4 linked regions of the Schizosaccharomyces pombe genome follow. Changing the gene in region 4 together with the main gene of any one other region gives a genetic interaction. Each region holds a gene or a part of one and is shown on either strand. Other genes may lie near its edges.

What was found.
Region 1: mutations in tip41 (region 4) and grx3 together harm fitness less than expected from each alone (positive genetic interaction), as found in Schizosaccharomyces pombe (one large-scale study listed by BioGRID).
Region 2: mutations in tip41 (region 4) and liz1 together harm fitness more than expected from each alone (negative genetic interaction), as found in Schizosaccharomyces pombe (one large-scale study listed by BioGRID).
Region 3: mutations in tip41 (region 4) and SPOM_SPAC688.12C together harm fitness less than expected from each alone (positive genetic interaction), as found in Schizosaccharomyces pombe (one large-scale study listed by BioGRID).

Annotation. Positions count from the first base shown.
Region 1 is NC_003421.2:1,734,779-1,738,542, forward strand, and holds grx3 (CIA machinery monothiol glutaredoxin Grx3), read right to left. Parts: upstream 1,329-3,764; 5' UTR 1,150-1,328; coding exon 649-1,149; 3' UTR 501-648; downstream 1-500. Other genes in the region: rox3 (mediator complex subunit Med19), read right to left, coding at 1-405; dao1 (D-amino acid oxidase), read right to left, coding at 1,828-2,874. UniProt on the Schizosaccharomyces pombe protein: Monothiol glutaredoxin involved in the biogenesis of iron-sulfur clusters. Binds one iron-sulfur cluster per dimer. The iron-sulfur cluster is bound between subunits, and is complexed by a bound glutathione and a cysteine residue from each subunit.
Region 2 is NC_003423.3:3,434,195-3,439,029, reverse strand, and holds liz1 (plasma membrane pantothenate transmembrane transporter Liz1), read left to right. Parts: upstream 1-2,452; 5' UTR 2,453-2,657; coding exon 2,658-4,202; 3' UTR 4,203-4,252; downstream 4,253-4,835. Other genes in the region: syj1 (inositol-1,4,5-trisphosphate 5-phosphatase 1), read right to left, coding at 1-1,477; SPOM_SPBC4B4.12C (uncharacterized protein), read left to right, coding at 4,470-4,802.
Region 3 is NC_003424.3:3,137,705-3,141,262, forward strand, and holds SPOM_SPAC688.12C (uncharacterized protein), read right to left. Parts: upstream 1,621-3,558; 5' UTR 1,522-1,620; coding exon 1,018-1,521; 3' UTR 970-1,017; downstream 1-969. Other genes in the region: clathrin adaptor End4, read left to right, coding at 1-729; scn3 (TatD DNase family Scn1), read left to right, coding at 2,020-3,027.
Region 4 is NC_003421.2:1,145,445-1,149,163, forward strand, and holds tip41 (TIP41 type 2a phosphatase regulator Tip41), read right to left. Parts: upstream 1,786-3,719; 5' UTR 1,698-1,785; coding exon 939-1,697; 3' UTR 771-938; downstream 1-770. Other genes in the region: ubiquinol cytochrome-c reductase assembly protein Cbp3, read right to left, coding at 1-463; anillin-related medial ring protein Mid1, read right to left, coding at 2,009-3,719. UniProt on the Schizosaccharomyces pombe protein: Involved in negative regulation of the TOR signaling pathway in response to type of available nitrogen source. Activates the PP2A phosphatase ppa2.

The sequences.
Region 1 (3,764 bases), 590 kb from region 4:
ACGACTTGGACTACGAGGTTGAGAGGAATCACGACTAACATTGCCCATTACAACGTCGTCTTCAAGGCCAAACACTTTAGGATTAAAACCTGGAATAATGCCTGGCTCTACAGAGAACACATGATGTAAAAATTCAATGTCAATAGGAACTTCTTCTCGAATAGGGTTTGTAAGCCATTGTTTTATAGTATTATCACGAAGAATTTCATTATAACCTGGCAAGTCTTGGATGTAAGCCTTGTACGAACGACGCATCTTTCTCTTGTTACCAAATTCATCGACACGTCCAACCTTTTTAGCAAGTTCCGTAAGACCATAAAGCTCTATTAAATTCTGATGGGCAGAAGGCCTCGTCGGTTGGTAGTCTACACTACCTACATAGTGGTATTCAGGAGCTTGCGCCATGCAAATAAATTGACCAATGTAACAATAAGAATATATTATTGCATTCAAATTTTTTAAATATATATGCAATGAATGCTTTACTCTCTAAGTTGCTTAGCTGGATAGTTTGGAGTAGTGGTTGGTGGTTTAAAGAAGCTATAGCATACTTGGCTAGTATAATTATTGAGTTACTTCCAAGGGTAATCGATTTAACATAAATTGTAATTAATAAATTGCATCAAAACATATATTGAAAAATTAAAATTAGTCGGTAGGTAAAATTAAAACTTTATTATGTGTCCATTCATCCAAAGTAGACTGAAGTTTTTCTTCTTGGTACAGAGCACGGACCGAATCAGATCCACCGATGCTATGACCACCAACGAAGATGTTGGGCATTGTAGATATATCGCTAATGGAAGAAAGCCAGTCTCTTAACTCTTGAGTATGCTCGTAGTCGGTGACTTCTACAACCACTGCTGGAGGATCCAATCTAAGGGTTTCTGTTAGAAGTTTTTTAGCTGCAGCACTATAAGGACATCCAGGACGACTAAAAATGATAACAGGGTTTTCAAGAAATACTTCAAAATCTGTTGAATCCTTAGCAGGTAATTTAGGAGCAGATGGCACTGAGACATCTGAAAGACCTAAAGGTCCTGCCTTTGCATTTTTCTCAGGTTCATTCAGTGGACTGAATATGAAGATATGAATAAGCAATAACGATATTATAAGAGATGTAATAAGAAAAATCTTTCTATTAGCCATAATGGGATGTAAGCTTTCCTTTCTCTTGGTAATTTGTATGAGCTGACGAAAAGCAGCTGATTAATCAAATTATTGTGATTAAAGCAAAATAAAATAATATAAAATGAATAAACTATTACAATTAAATTCCCTCACAGTTGGTTTAGATAGTTACCCAAAACCTGTGGTATGCAAACGGTAGGCTGGTCGCGGATAGGTGAATTTAGGATATTGCGATTGAGGATTGAAAAACTTCTTTAAAGGCCCAAAAATTACTAATTAAGCTACAAAGATGCCACCGTTAATATGAATCAAGCTCAGTCTATTTTAATGCTTCTACAACAAGGGCACGGAAGGAAAGGAACCTTACTTGCTCGCATTAAGGATGCCAAGCACTTTAGTCTTTCAGATTATTCTCAAAAGATGTAAATTTTTTTAAATAATCGTCAAAAAACGTAAAGGTAATGTACAACATTCTAATGCTATTTCATCCTCATGATTTAGCAACTCTCAAAAGCTAATGAACTACTTGTACACGTGTATCGTAGAATTGAAATGCGTTTTAACAAATCCGTTAAGTCTATAAAACATGGTTCGAAATTTGGTATAAAAACTACCTCAAATGAAGCGACCAATTATCCTAATAAAAAGAGGGGAGATAATGCTCTAAAAAATATGAAACGTGATAAAAAAATAAACCTAAGCCAATTTGATTTTAGGAAGAGCCAACATGACAGAGTCAAGAGCCATACCATAACCAGCTTGGTATCCTGTGCCAGAAGCACCGTAATCATGAACAAGGGGGACTGAGGTGCCGGGAACAACATCAAGCTCTACGCGGGCACCACCCTTTCGAGAAGGACGGAATCCGACACATTCTTGAATAATTTCAGCACCCTCCGGACCCTTGCCGTGGAACAATTCTGGCATCAAAGCCGATGTTCTCTTAAGGATATCCAAAGTGTCTTCAGGGTGAATTTCACGATCCCAGTTTCCTGGTTGCATGAAACCGCCGCAAATGACTCCACCATTTAAGGGACGAGGAATAATATAGGTATCAGAGTTCTTGCCATTCAAAATGCGAGTTTCTGTTACATGAGGAGCCTTAACCAAAACAACATGTCCACGAGTCGGATAAACGTCCGGGTCTTCAACGCCACCCAATTTGGAAGCCCAGAGACCAGTGCAATTAAATACTACTGAAGCTTCTGGAGTTTCTTCGACAGTCTCTTTGATGTGACTCAATTCTTTCTTTTCAAATTCGACGCCAGCTTCAATGAGCAGCTTGTACATATAATTCAAGTAATGAGGAGCGTTGATTAAAAAGGTGGTGGCCTTATGTCCGTAGATACATTCTCCTGGAAGATCTTTTTCAGGGATAACTTTGAAATCTCTGACATAGGTATTCCAGGATCTGATTTTGTCGTGTTTCGGCTCGTACTCCCACAATTCTCGAAGATCAGCAAAACGGATTCCTGCTTCAGGACGAGTTTTCGCCAAGTAGGCGAAACGATGGTAAGTGATTTTATCCCAGCGCAAAGCATTGTCATCAGTAGCAGAAATGCTACAGAAATTTGCGCCAGCCCAAGGGGAAGTGTATTCTACAGAACGATCTTCAGGCGTATACTTGGCAATCACCTTAATACGAGGAGCAAGACCCAAGTCTGAAAGAATCCAAGCAGTGGTCAATCCAATAACGCCAGCGCCAACGATGACAATATCTCTTGGCTTATTTTCCTTAGTCATTGTTTATATTAAAAACGGGAAGGAGAGAAATCGAGAGAGCAATGGTTGAGTAGAAGGAGAAAGGGCAATTAGACTGCGAATTTAAAACGCGAAGCAGGGGGAAACGAGTGCGCAAATAATTTATATCTAAATATTAGAAGCAAGTTAGCAGTCTGAACCCTAATTGGCAATGTCATTAACGGATTAGAGGTAGAGTAAAAAATTAAAAGCAGTTACAATGGGAAAATACAGTGTAACAGGCAAATCAAGTATTAGAGGATTGAAGTTAAACAGTACCATATTGGATTAATATATGCTTGCATGCACTTTTGCATACAATATAGAAGAATTTCTAATGGATGATATTGTATTGTAACAACTATACATATATTAATCACTTTCAGCAGTTCAATTCGCTACAATCCCTGTACAAACAAAAGTACCAACTAAAGCGCTTTAACGATGCATAATCCACATTGGGGAGTTCTCCGGTTTTTTTACCATAAACGCCGTATCAAAGTGCCGTGATTTTCTGTAAACAAGTATAACGAAACCTCCGGTTATCCGTATAGATTACTTACCTAAAAATGATTGTAAATTAGCTTTCAATTTAGCTCAGGAAGAGTGTGCGAAAGAGGAGTGCTGTTCGTTAGGACTACCCACCCTTTTATAAGATTCAGATTTGCGACTAGCGGCTCCAATTCTTATCTTCTTTACGTAAAACTCGCACTTTGATATCCGAAACAATCTACTGAACCGCAACGCAAATCGGTAAAACCCATATCGTGTTAGCTACGCAGTTTGATATCTGTTTAATGATACAAAGCACTGCGGTGAGCTTTACTTGCGATCTACAACATAGCGGTACGCGGTATGTTAATTAAAAACAATATTATAATCATCGTTATAAG
Region 2 (4,835 bases), on a different chromosome or scaffold from region 4:
CACCCGCTATACTTAACTTTCCCTTTCTAGTGAAACTAGATTTAAGTGCTCCTGTTCCGGTGTAAATGCGAGCTAAGGCATCACCATTATTTGCCCAAATCGTTGAATGAACTTGCCAAAAATCATAACCAGCATTTTGCCGAGTATATATCATAACTTGTTCTAAAAACACTCTTGAAACAAGATTCTGAATAACATTTGTTCGGTCTAAGCAATCCAAACAATTGGTGCGAAAAACACCATCTTGTACCACAATGGATTGTCCTTCGTTGTTCTCAAAATAAAACCCGAAAGTTTCTGCATCGCTATAAATCATTGGGCGTATTTTATTGGCATCTTCAAAGGATCTAATTTGAGAATGATAGTCAAACTCCGTTAAATGTATTAAATCTTTTTCCGGAGAAAGTTGAATATGCTGTCTCAGACGCTCAGATAAACTGCGTTCTCCCGAACCTGTCCCTAAAAGATTGATTATGTGCACTGGTCCGTATTCTTCAATAAGACTGGTAAAGTGTTTTTCAAAAGCAGCTCGAGTTGCTTCTAAAGAGCGAGTTATATCAATTTTTTGACCAAACATTTGAACACCTTCTTGTTCCCAAAAAATTGGAATACTGCCACGGACCTGACAATAGCTTACACAGTATTTAGAGGAATCGAGGATTGTCTCCGTCTCAACAAAGTTAGCAACGTTTCCATCATCATCTACGCCACGTGACAAGAATCGGGTACCAGCGCGAAGCGAAGACAGTCTAGATATTAAAGAAAGCCGAATAGTCTGAATTCCTAACTTAAATTGTTCGGTGCTCGCAAAACCTCTGATGGCACATGTAAAGAAGCGACATCCATCCAATGCACTCTTTTCATCCCCATTCAAATGGGAGCGAAATTTGATCAACTGTCTAAGCATAAATTCGTTCCACATAAATTGAGTATGCATGCTATCATATTGAGGCTCCGTCATTGTTTGAGACGTACGAAGTTGCAGTCGGGTAGTAATGTCAAAATCGAGAGAAAAGTAAAATGATCCATTTGTTAATAGCTTTCTGAGACTACTGAATGGTTCAGCGGCATACTTGTAAGAATCATAGCCTTGGGTATCGGTATCGTAACCATCCGGAATATCAGGCGAGTAATTTTCTTGTCGAATGTGATCCCAGTTTGAACGATTAACACTGTAAAAGCAGACCTCCATGATACGAAAAACTCTTTCTTTATCTCGCACACGTGCTACCTCACTAGCTCCACTAATCACGCACAAAAAATTGGACCCTTCTAATTCAATCAGACCTAGAGTACCATAAATTCGATGACTGGAGATTTTTCGAAATCCTTCTAACGGCTTTTCTGACAATGCCGTAAATTCTGCAACACATACTGATAAAGAGTTTTTGTTCTGAGGAACCGAATGAAACATAAGAGCATGGTCCTTATTGACTAAGGCCAAGGATCTTGGCTTTTCCCTCAGCAGACATTGCATCTTAAGATTCACAAATGTGAACTATAAATAATAAAATTCGTTCTGTAATGAACGATGCAAGTCTTTACCAACGATGTTTGTCCGAACAAGTTATAAATCTTGGGATACGAAGTTGGGTGGTGTTGGGTGACAAAAACGTTCGTTACTTAAACATTATAGAAGCGCTTCTGTAAATTAGAATAAGTAAACGGCTTATTTTAATTTACTATGTTAAAATGTATTCCAAAAAATTTTGGTTCTAATATATGGAAGTTTCTGGTCAATTTTTAAAGTGCATTTGCTTTACAAAACTCGTAACCCTTGTAAACATATTTCATTGATTATGGGTAGAAAACCATTGAAACAAGAAAATCATAAGAGAAGCGATCTTGCTAAAACGTAACGTAACAGGATTTCAAGGCACTTCCATAAGATTGGTACTGTCAAAAAATGTATTATAATTCACTTTCGTTCATCAACAGTGCCATTGTTAATTTCAAAAACACCAAGTTGCACAAGAATACAGCGGTTACTCCAACGTATTAAAAATAAAAGTCAAACAGATACAGTATTCGGCAGAAAAAACCCCCATCTTAAGAGCTAAGATTATTTGAGCTCTCCGAAGATGTTCGCTGACGCTGAATAGCTTCAACTATGGCAATTTTTTACATTTCAAATGTGTTGGTTACTGTAATAGTATGTTTAATCTCGCAAATAGTGGTTATTGTATTGTAGCCACTTGAACCGAATGCTTATTAATTGAAAGGTTAGATGTTTTTTGCAATACAGTTAATTTCCACAAATAGAGCAGCAAAGTATAGTACTCATTGTGGCTACGTCGAGAATAAGTATCCAACTTGCTAGCCAATTCCGAGTAATCAGCGCACATCTAAAAATTAAGATTGGGTTTCCGGCATTGATATTGTCACTTTTTAGAAGGCTCGATCGATACTTATAATCTTGATTTTTCAGAAAAATTAAAGAAAAAATTTTCCTGGCTGGAGCATATTGATATTCCAACAGTCTGCAATTCGATTTTGACTCGAAGTGTTTGTTCCTTGCTTAGGTCCCTGGCTTTACTTTAATATAGGCACTTTTCATGAGAATCCATTGAAATTGTACGTTTTCTAAAGCCATAAAAATTTAAGTTAGGTCTCCTCTGTAAATTGTCGTGAATATTTCATAAGTGAGACAAGTCGTAATGGCGTTACTAAATAGGTTGGCAAAAACCTTTTCCCCTTATTATGGATTAAACAAAGTTGAACAAAAGCTTTTAATAAAAATAGATTGGTTCATACTTTCTTACTGTTGCGTTTCATATTTTATTAATTACTTGGATAGATCATCAATAAACAATGCATACCTTAGTGGTATGCAAGAGGATTTGAAAATGCATGGTAATGAATTGCAAGATATAAACGTTGTTTTTACATGTGGATACATTATAGGACAATTGCCAGGTTCTTATGCATTACAGAGAGTACCAGCAAGACTTTGGTTTTCGGTTATGAATATTTTATGGGGACTTATGACGATTTTTTCATTTGCGGTACATTCCGTTCGAGCATTGATGATTTTACGCTTTTTCATGGCGGTTGCGGAGGCATCTACATTTGCTGGTACGCATTATATATTGGGCGCATGGTACAAAGAAAGTGAACTATGCAAACGTGCCGGAATTTTTTCAGCCTCTGGTTTAGTCGGCACAATGTTTGCTGGGTATTTGCAAACAGCAGTTCATTCATCATTAAATGGTAAAGGTGGTTTATCTGGTTGGCGTTGGCTTTTTATAATTGATGGCATTTTGACGATTCCTCTTTCATTATATGGGCTCTTTCTGTTTCCTGACGTTCCAGAAACAACCAAGGCTCCTTATTTTACAGAACAAGAAAAAGAATTAAGTTTCAAAAGGCTACCCGCTCGCCCCAAGAAGAAGCCATTAACGCTAAAAGCGATAAAGGATATTGTACGTTCATGGCGAATTTACGGTTTGTGCATCCTTTGGATTTTTAGCGGAGAAACACAAGCTATAGCTGTCAATGTATTGATGGGTCAGTGGATGAAATGGAGCAACAAATTTTCTGTTGCCCAAATAAATAATTACCCAACTGTGATTACAGCTGTTGGCGTAGTATCAACGTTAGGTGCTAGTGTTATTTCTGATAAATTAGCTGGAAACCCAAGATGGCCTTTTGGACTTTTTCTGTGCGTAATTACTACTGTTTCTGCTACAATACTTCTAGCATGGAACGTGCCAGATGGCGCAAAATTCTTTGCTTATTTCGCTTCTGGTTGTACATATGCTGGACAAGCAGTTTGGTTTTCTTGGGCAAATGACATTTGCCGGGATAATGATCAGGAAAGAGGAGTTGTTGTGTTTTTGATGAATATGTGTCAGAATATCTGGCATATTTGGTGGGCACCTATAATGTATCCCAATACTGATACGCCTCGATTTATAAAAGGATTAATTGGTTTGCTGGTGGTAGGAGGAATAGTCTTTGTTAGCTCTTGTATTGTTAGTTACATGCAAATCCGCGATAAAAGAATTAAACGATCCATCCAGGATGCAAAAGATTTCGATGATGTATTCACTGAGCATGAAAGTTTAGAGTTAAAAAAAATAGGCAAAAATGATGAGGAATCACTCAACACAACTAATGCGGTCAAAGAAATTAGTTCTCCAGGGCTTGTGATAACGCGACAGCGAATTTCCATGCCAAAAGAAACGAATGCCCAAGATTAGTACTAGAAGATTAATGACATAGTATAAATATTCCTTATGCCTTTAAGTACACATTTAGAGTAAATTTGCTGTTCATATTGATATCAACCTAACATAAAAATTTACCACAGTTGGCTCATCTAATTGACCAAGCCCTTTGACGCAAACGCAAACGAATACCTTTGCACACATACTCAAAAAGAATCTGCTAACAAACGATTTAAGGTGCAGCTGAAGTTAAAAATTTATAACCATTAAATAGAAATACCAACTATACGTATAGTTTGGATGGTATCCGGCAATGATCAACAAGTTATTGAGTATACATCAGTCCTAAAGGAATTTAGCGATGGTGTAGACTTAATGGAGCTAAAAGAAAATTTTTTATATATTAGGACTAGAGAAAAAATTGAAGCTAAATTAATCTGGGCAGGAGAGTGGGAATGGAAGCCCGTGAACGAAACAAATGAAAATAACTTGGAAAGAGGGAGACAATACCCTAGCGCCAATTCCGCACTAATGGAAAATTCTCCAGAATTTGCTAAATGGTTTCATGGACAATTGTTTAATCGGCTTTGCGTTCTAGGCTCCACATCTTCGTCGAGAAAAGACATGCTTTGAACAGTGTTGGCTATTTTAAGCAAATTTTAGATT
Region 3 (3,558 bases), on a different chromosome or scaffold from region 4:
GCTCCCGGTGAAAACATTGAAGAACTTGTCGATAATCAACTGGCGGAAACAGCACAGGCTATTCAACAGGCTATTTTAAGATTACAAAATATCGCAGCAAAACCCAAAGACGATAGTTTGTCCCCTTCAGAACTGCAAGTTCACGATTCTTTGTTAAGCGCATCAATTGCCATTACCGAGGCTATTGCCAGATTAATTAAAGCAGCAACTGCTTCACAGGCAGAGATTGTTGCTCAAGGAAGAGGTTCCAGTTCACGTGGTGCATTTTATAAAAAACATAACCGCTGGACGGAAGGCCTTATATCAGCTGCGAAAGCCGTTGCGCGTGCTACAACTACTTTAATCGAAACTGCTGATGGAGTCGTAAACGGTACATCTAGTTTTGAGCATTTGATTGTCGCATGTAATGGTGTTAGCGCCGCAACTGCACAATTGGTTGCAGCCTCTCGTGTAAAAGCAAATTTCGCCTCTAAGGTTCAAGATCATCTTGAGGATGCTGCGAAAGCTGTTACGGAGGCCTGTAAGGCATTGGTTCGTCAAGTGGAGTCTGTTGCTCTCAAAGCTAAAGAGGTGCAGCATGAAGACTTCTCTTCATTGGGTGTTCATGAATATCGTCGTAAAGAAATTGAGCAACAGGTGCAAATTTTGAAGTTGGAAAATGATTTAGTCGCTGCCCGACGTCGTCTTTTTGATATGAGAAAAACATCTTATCATGTTGCCGAAGAGTAATTAAGTCTTTTCGATCCTTTTTATTTTTATGAATTAATTTTGGAAAGCCTTAAATACTCAGCTATTAGTGCTTCTATTTTTGCTAGGTCGATACGGGATGATAAATACATTGCGTTCTTTTCCGACCAATAGGCAGTATTAGTATATTTAAATTTTAAATGTAAATAAATACCATTACATATTGTGACACTTGTAGATCCTACTGATATACTAATGATCAAAGCAGAATGGCTAACCTACCGCACTATATCTCTTAAAGTAAAACAAACATAATCCAGATTTATTTTTCTACAACTTTTTCTTTTTCCTCCTCTCGGTTTTTTTCTCTTTCTTTTGCTCCTTCTTTTGTTCTTTCTTTTCTCGTTGTTCTTTTAAGCGCTGTTTTCTTTCAGCCAGTAGAGCCTCATCTTCAGGATTTGCGCAAGCAACTTCGAATAGTTTCCATGAAAGAATTAAACCTAGACCAGTCGCGCCAAAAACATAAAGATCTAAAGTAATCAATGTGGTCTGAACAAGTATGAATGTGATTATCATCTTAATGATGATCTCACGGCCTGACACATTGCTACGAACTTCTTTACGAATACCCAAAGGAAACCATCGAATTTTACCAGGGGGTCCAAATGAAATATGATAATTCCGTTTCGTGGGATTGTTAGAAGGACCCTTGGGCTTATAAATGTGAATTAAATTGATAAATGCTCCAATAAGGAAAATAGCTAGTCCAATTTTGTTATTCTTCGGATTCGAGAAAGTCTTTGTCAATTGATACGGAGATTCTTCTTCACTCATTGTAATTTATTTTCTATTATAGGAGATATAAAAGAAGAACCGTTCGTTCCAAATTAATTTGATCAAAGTATGGTGAATGAAACCGTCGGGGTGGAGGTTAGGAAAAATGTGGTACTACAGACAAAAAATAGAATAATTTGCCTCTCCCATAAACAGATATTCAAGATGTATTTTATCGTATGTTCTCAAATTACCTAGACGCTAACACTAATAAATAAATTTGAAAATATTATTGGTAAGGTGGTCACATGGAGGAACTAGTCAACGAAATAGGTATCTGCCCTTGAGCTTGCAGTAGACTAATTAAATTGAAGACGACTGTAATATTCAAGTTTTATCTTTATGTCATCAAGTAATTACCAAACAATGGGGAAACGAATGAAGTTGTTGAATTTCATTAGCATACACATGTTTTCGTCAACTCCAACGTTACTCTCCCTATCCCAACTATTTAAAGTACGGTGGGCAGAGAGCATTCTGTTAACTACAAATATCATTATGGAATCTATCATTGACGCTCATTGCCATCCAACTGATGCACCGCAAGAATTACATTTGGTTGCTAATCTTTCTGTTGGTAAATTAATAGTAATGGGAACCCGGCCGACAGATCAAAAGTATGTCGAACAACTTGCGAAAGAATACCCTGGTAAAGTAATACCTAGTTTTGGGATACATCCATGGTTTTCTTATTATTTGTACGATGATTTGGATAAAGATTTGCAAAGTAGTGAAACGAGAAAAAAGAAGCATTACGAAAAAATATTGACTCCAATACCTGATGAAGATTTTATCAATGCTCTTCCCAACCCAGTCCCGATTTCAGAATTTTTGGAGGACGCTCGTCGACATCTTAAACAGTACCCAAACGCTCTCATTGGCGAAATCGGCTTGGATAAGCCATTTCGATTGCCAGTTGGCCCATATGATGCAAGGTCCTCACTTCCTCAAGGACCTCTATCACCATTTTACGTAAAAATGGAACATCAATGTAAAGTGTTTGAAGCACAAGTGCGTCTTGCTGCAGAATTCCAACGTGCTGTTAGTGTTCACTGCGTTCAGACGTATGCTCTTTTGTATAGCAGTTTAGCTAAATTTTGGGATGGTCGCTGGATTCCTTCCAAAACGAAAATACGAAAGATGAAGAAAGAAGAGTACGAAAATTCTCTTGCTGAAGAACGAAAGCATTACCCTCCCAAAATTTGCCTTCATAGCTACTCTGGTAGCATTGAGCAAATTTCTCAGTTTTCAGCCCATAAAGTTCCGACCGAGTTTTACTACTCTTTTTCAATAGGTATAAATAGTCGTTATAAAAATTTTATTCAAACACTTAAAGGCGTTCCCGACGATAAGCTATTGGCAGAGAGTGATCATCACAGTGCTAGCCAAATCGATGAATTAGTTCGACAATCTTTGAACGTTATGTCAGAAGCTAAGTCCTGGACTTTTGAGGATACTATTACAAAAATTTCAAGTAACTCTAAAGCATTTTTGAAAGTAACTTGAACGCATGCACTACGGTTTATTGACAAATTAGAGTTACCTGCACAATCACCTTAAATAAGTGCATAAGAGATTACTGGCTATTCCCATTGGAATTGGTAACCTTTAGGTTCGTTTTTTATCTGTTTCGTTTACTAAATCCCGAAACTTGACTGAACTAGTGTGGAAATGCTTGCGTTTGCATACAACTTTATTTATAATGTCCTTTTTCATGAACTTTTTTCTTATATTGTCCACCTAATGTCTCTATCTTAAAAATTTCTAACACTTTGCTGAACATGTTTAGCAAAATTCTTTTGTTTATTTATTACTTAGGATAAAATATTTTTTAAAAAAATTTTTGTGATTCCCGTTACTAAAGTATTCTACTAAAACCATCTTGAATTTCCACTTTTTATGAAAGGAATATGCACGTACAGCAAATTCTTAGACTTTTTTGCTCTTTTAGTGATCGTAAGCCAAGCATTAACTGATGTATCTTAGCCATTCAAATTCGTAATACTAAGCTACTTTTTTTTCCAATTCTTGGTATGC
Region 4 (3,719 bases):
GAATGCGAGTATGGAGGATCCACAAATGTAATTGCGTTATTTGAAACCAAGACTGAAATGTCATAGGAATTTCACACTTCTGGTACCAAAATTCAAAAGCACCTAGCGAGTTTTTTTCGGGGGTAGCTTGTCGAGCAGCCTCAAAATACATGTATCTTGCAGTACCAGTAGCCTCATAATATAAATTTTGTTTAGGAGAGATATATTTTTGATAAATAAGACTTATTTTCTTTAGAAAACTATTTGGCGGAGCCACTTTACGTGGATCTTGAGGAGGTGTAAGGGGTTTGTATCTGAGTTCTTCTACTGGGTCTCTTCTCTTCGTTTCCGAAGGTGAATGATTAATAACATTTATTGGAGAAAATGAAAATCTTCTTCTTAAGGGACCGTATATACTCTTCCCCCATACCGGCTGCTTAACAAATGCTGGTCTCAATGGCAAATTTAAACAGCAGCGACTCATTACTGAATGACGATAAGGATCTTTTGATAATCTTTTCTTAATTAATAAAATTAATTATTACCTGCAAATAAATACGTAGGAGTTGGGTTGAAATAAAAAACGGATCGATTAATGTCGTACAATATAAAGGGGAAGAGAGGTTGTGACAGGTTGATTGCCAAATACAATGTTATAACGAACGATCAATATTACGAGGCCATCATTCTTCCTAATTAAGTATACTCTAAAATTTACTGGACCATTTTAAATTTGTTTGCAGTTTCAGTAGTATATCTTCGCCGTTTAATCGTACCAAAGATTGTATCTATTTATTTTGCTTTCTCAATTAGAAAACCTAAATTAATAACCTCTTAGTTGAAAATGATTATAAATATTACCATGAACTAAACGTAATAAACTTGTAAATTGCTTCAACACTCATTCGTTGACAAAAGTTCTAAATTCTCATGTCTGCCATTAGCGAATCATTTTAGCATCAAAAATTCAATTTATAGATTTTATGGTCAACGGTATCAAGGCGCTCACTTAACCAATTGTTATCATCTAGCAATGCAGCTTTGTCTCCCCCCACAGGTATTTGTTTAATAATTTTGTCGTAAGTAGCTTGCTTTTTACGGCAGTCCTTCAAGAGAAAATCATTCAACAAATCAATATATATCCTCGTCTCATTCAATCGAACATTTACCTTGTCTAAACGTACGACAAGGCGTGCTAACAATATTAAATGACCCTGAACAACTCGAGCTCTCACATCAAACATTGATTTTCCATTATCTGCTAACTCATCTTCGAAAAGAATTATCTCATTGAACCATAAATTTTGTCCTGCGTTAAGTATTTTTTGAACAGGTATTACCTGATCAATTTCAATGAATTTTGCATTTGGACGTTGTATAGTTCCCTGATAATCAGTATAATAAGTCCAATCAAATGGGTAAATCACAGGGTATTCTTCTCCGGGCTTAATTCTGGATTTGGCCCAGTCTTTTGCAAAAGAAACTTGCATTACATCTTCAGGTTTGGTACCAACCATTTTAAGAGCATCTTCAGTAAAAAATCCAACTACAGGCTGATTCTTGTATTCAATTGAGATGTAATTATTCCCAAAGGTCATCTCAGGAGGTGGAAAACCCAATGTACTTTGAAGGTTCTCCATCTCATGGCTTTTTAAAATTGACCCCCGTTGGACTTTGATAGTCCAATATTTAAATGAAAAATCATCTTGTTTTTGCATCTCCTTTAAATAATGTGATTTGAGTAGTTGCTTGACCCCTATATTATTGTAACAATTTAGAGTGCGTACGGCAAAATATAGGTAATGTAAATTTAGCCAACACAAAACACCTTTATATTACTTTACTCATTATAGAGTATATTCAAAAAACCAAAAGTTGATTAATTATTCAGATTAAAAATGAAAAATGATCTATAAGTATTAATTCAGTAGTTATATAATTTCAGTTCAACTCCCTCATTTAGTAAATCCGATAAGTAAAAATTATTCAAAAAATACATTAAGACGATTAGTATTCATAAATTCAGATATTAAGCCATAAAATTCACGTATTCTTGTAACCATAATTTCTCAGTACCCCTATCTAGAGCAAACGAGCGTGAATTCATCACCTGAAGCCATTTTTGGCAAACCTTTTTAGAGTCCGCAAACAACTGAACATGCCTTCTATCAACAGATGTAGCCAATATTCCAGCTACTAGACCGAGGTTTGAAACTGCCTCTGAAAAATTTACCATTGGGATTGAAACTACTGTCTTAGAAAGCTGAAAAGTATCCAAATATTGCCCACCTTTTTCAGCATAAAAATTCAGCTGCTTTGAGCGTAAAACGACAAAACGTCTTCGAATAGATGAATCTTCCAATCTATACAAGTATCCCTCATTATATAGATAGTTACTTCTAACGTGTCGCAAGTCCATCGTAGCTTGTTCTAAGGTAAATGGCAATTCCTGCTCTGGAACCGAAAGCTCAGGAATATACAAACAAGTCAAAGTTAGATTACCAAGTGTACGTTTCCCTATAGAGTTTATTTTTACAGGAATCGCTTCCAAGAAGCCTCTGGAAATGATGGGTATTTCTACGTTGAAAGCCTTTCCAAAACAACTGTCTTTGACATTACCCAAATTTAACGTAGCAGTACCCGAGACTTTCTTGATAACCACTGACTTCTTAGCCTTTGAATTCTCAACTGCAGCAGCCTTGTTGAGTTTTCTCTTTTTGCGTCGGTTGAAAAGCTTGTCAAAAAATTTCCTAGCTTTGGATTTCGTTTCAGCAGGCTTACCGTTTGAAACGTCTTTTGTAGCAGATACTCCTTTCGAACCGTTGGACTTGTCCTCAATAGGGATGTCAAGAAACATAAAACTCACTTTAAAGTTATCGTCAACATGAAAAGCAAAATCATGGTCCAACCTATTATTCCCATTAACAGCTTGCCAAGGAAGCTGCATATTTTGCGTAGGCGTATTAACTATTATCTTGATAGGTGAATGGACTTCACTTATCGAAATATTCAAAATGCTGTTCAAATGTATATAAAAGCGACCAAGTGGCAAGGGCGCCTTTGGTTTCTCTTCAAAAAATGTTTCATTCACAAATCCAAGAGAAGTAACAGGACGTGGTGATTGATTTTCAGTACCATTCGGGACTTCGTAAGACGTACTCTTATCCTGACTTGGAAGATCAAGGCGATTCAAATCAAAGGAATGTGCACGACTTAAAAGTTCGCTATCTCTGGCTACAGGCGTAGACTGCCTAAGTTCATCAATGCTGGCGGATATCTCGGCACTAGGGTCGTAAAAACCTACTGTACCAGTTTCCGAATAATTCCATCCTTCGACGTTATGGGACTCAGAACTGACTAAACTTTGGCTAGACTTGTTTGGCTCATTTTCACAATAATTACTATAAGTACGCTTCGTTCCTGGTACGGGTTGCATTGATGGGTGACGTAAATCTTCAGAGCTTAAAATAGCACTCAAATTGTCAATGGTAGAACTGCTTTTTATACGACCACGTTGACTAGATATACTATATCCCACGGAAGCAGAAGTTAGATTGTATCTGGGGACTTCATGATACGTTACAGATCCATGACCATAGGCGGCCTGAGATTTCGGAATTGAAGTGGCACTAATATCCTCATCCATATTTTCCTGTTGTAAAGAATCATTGATAATAGTAGAAATCTCAGGTTCTGAATTACGGGAAGATTGAAGGTATAACTCATCATAGTCTTTACCG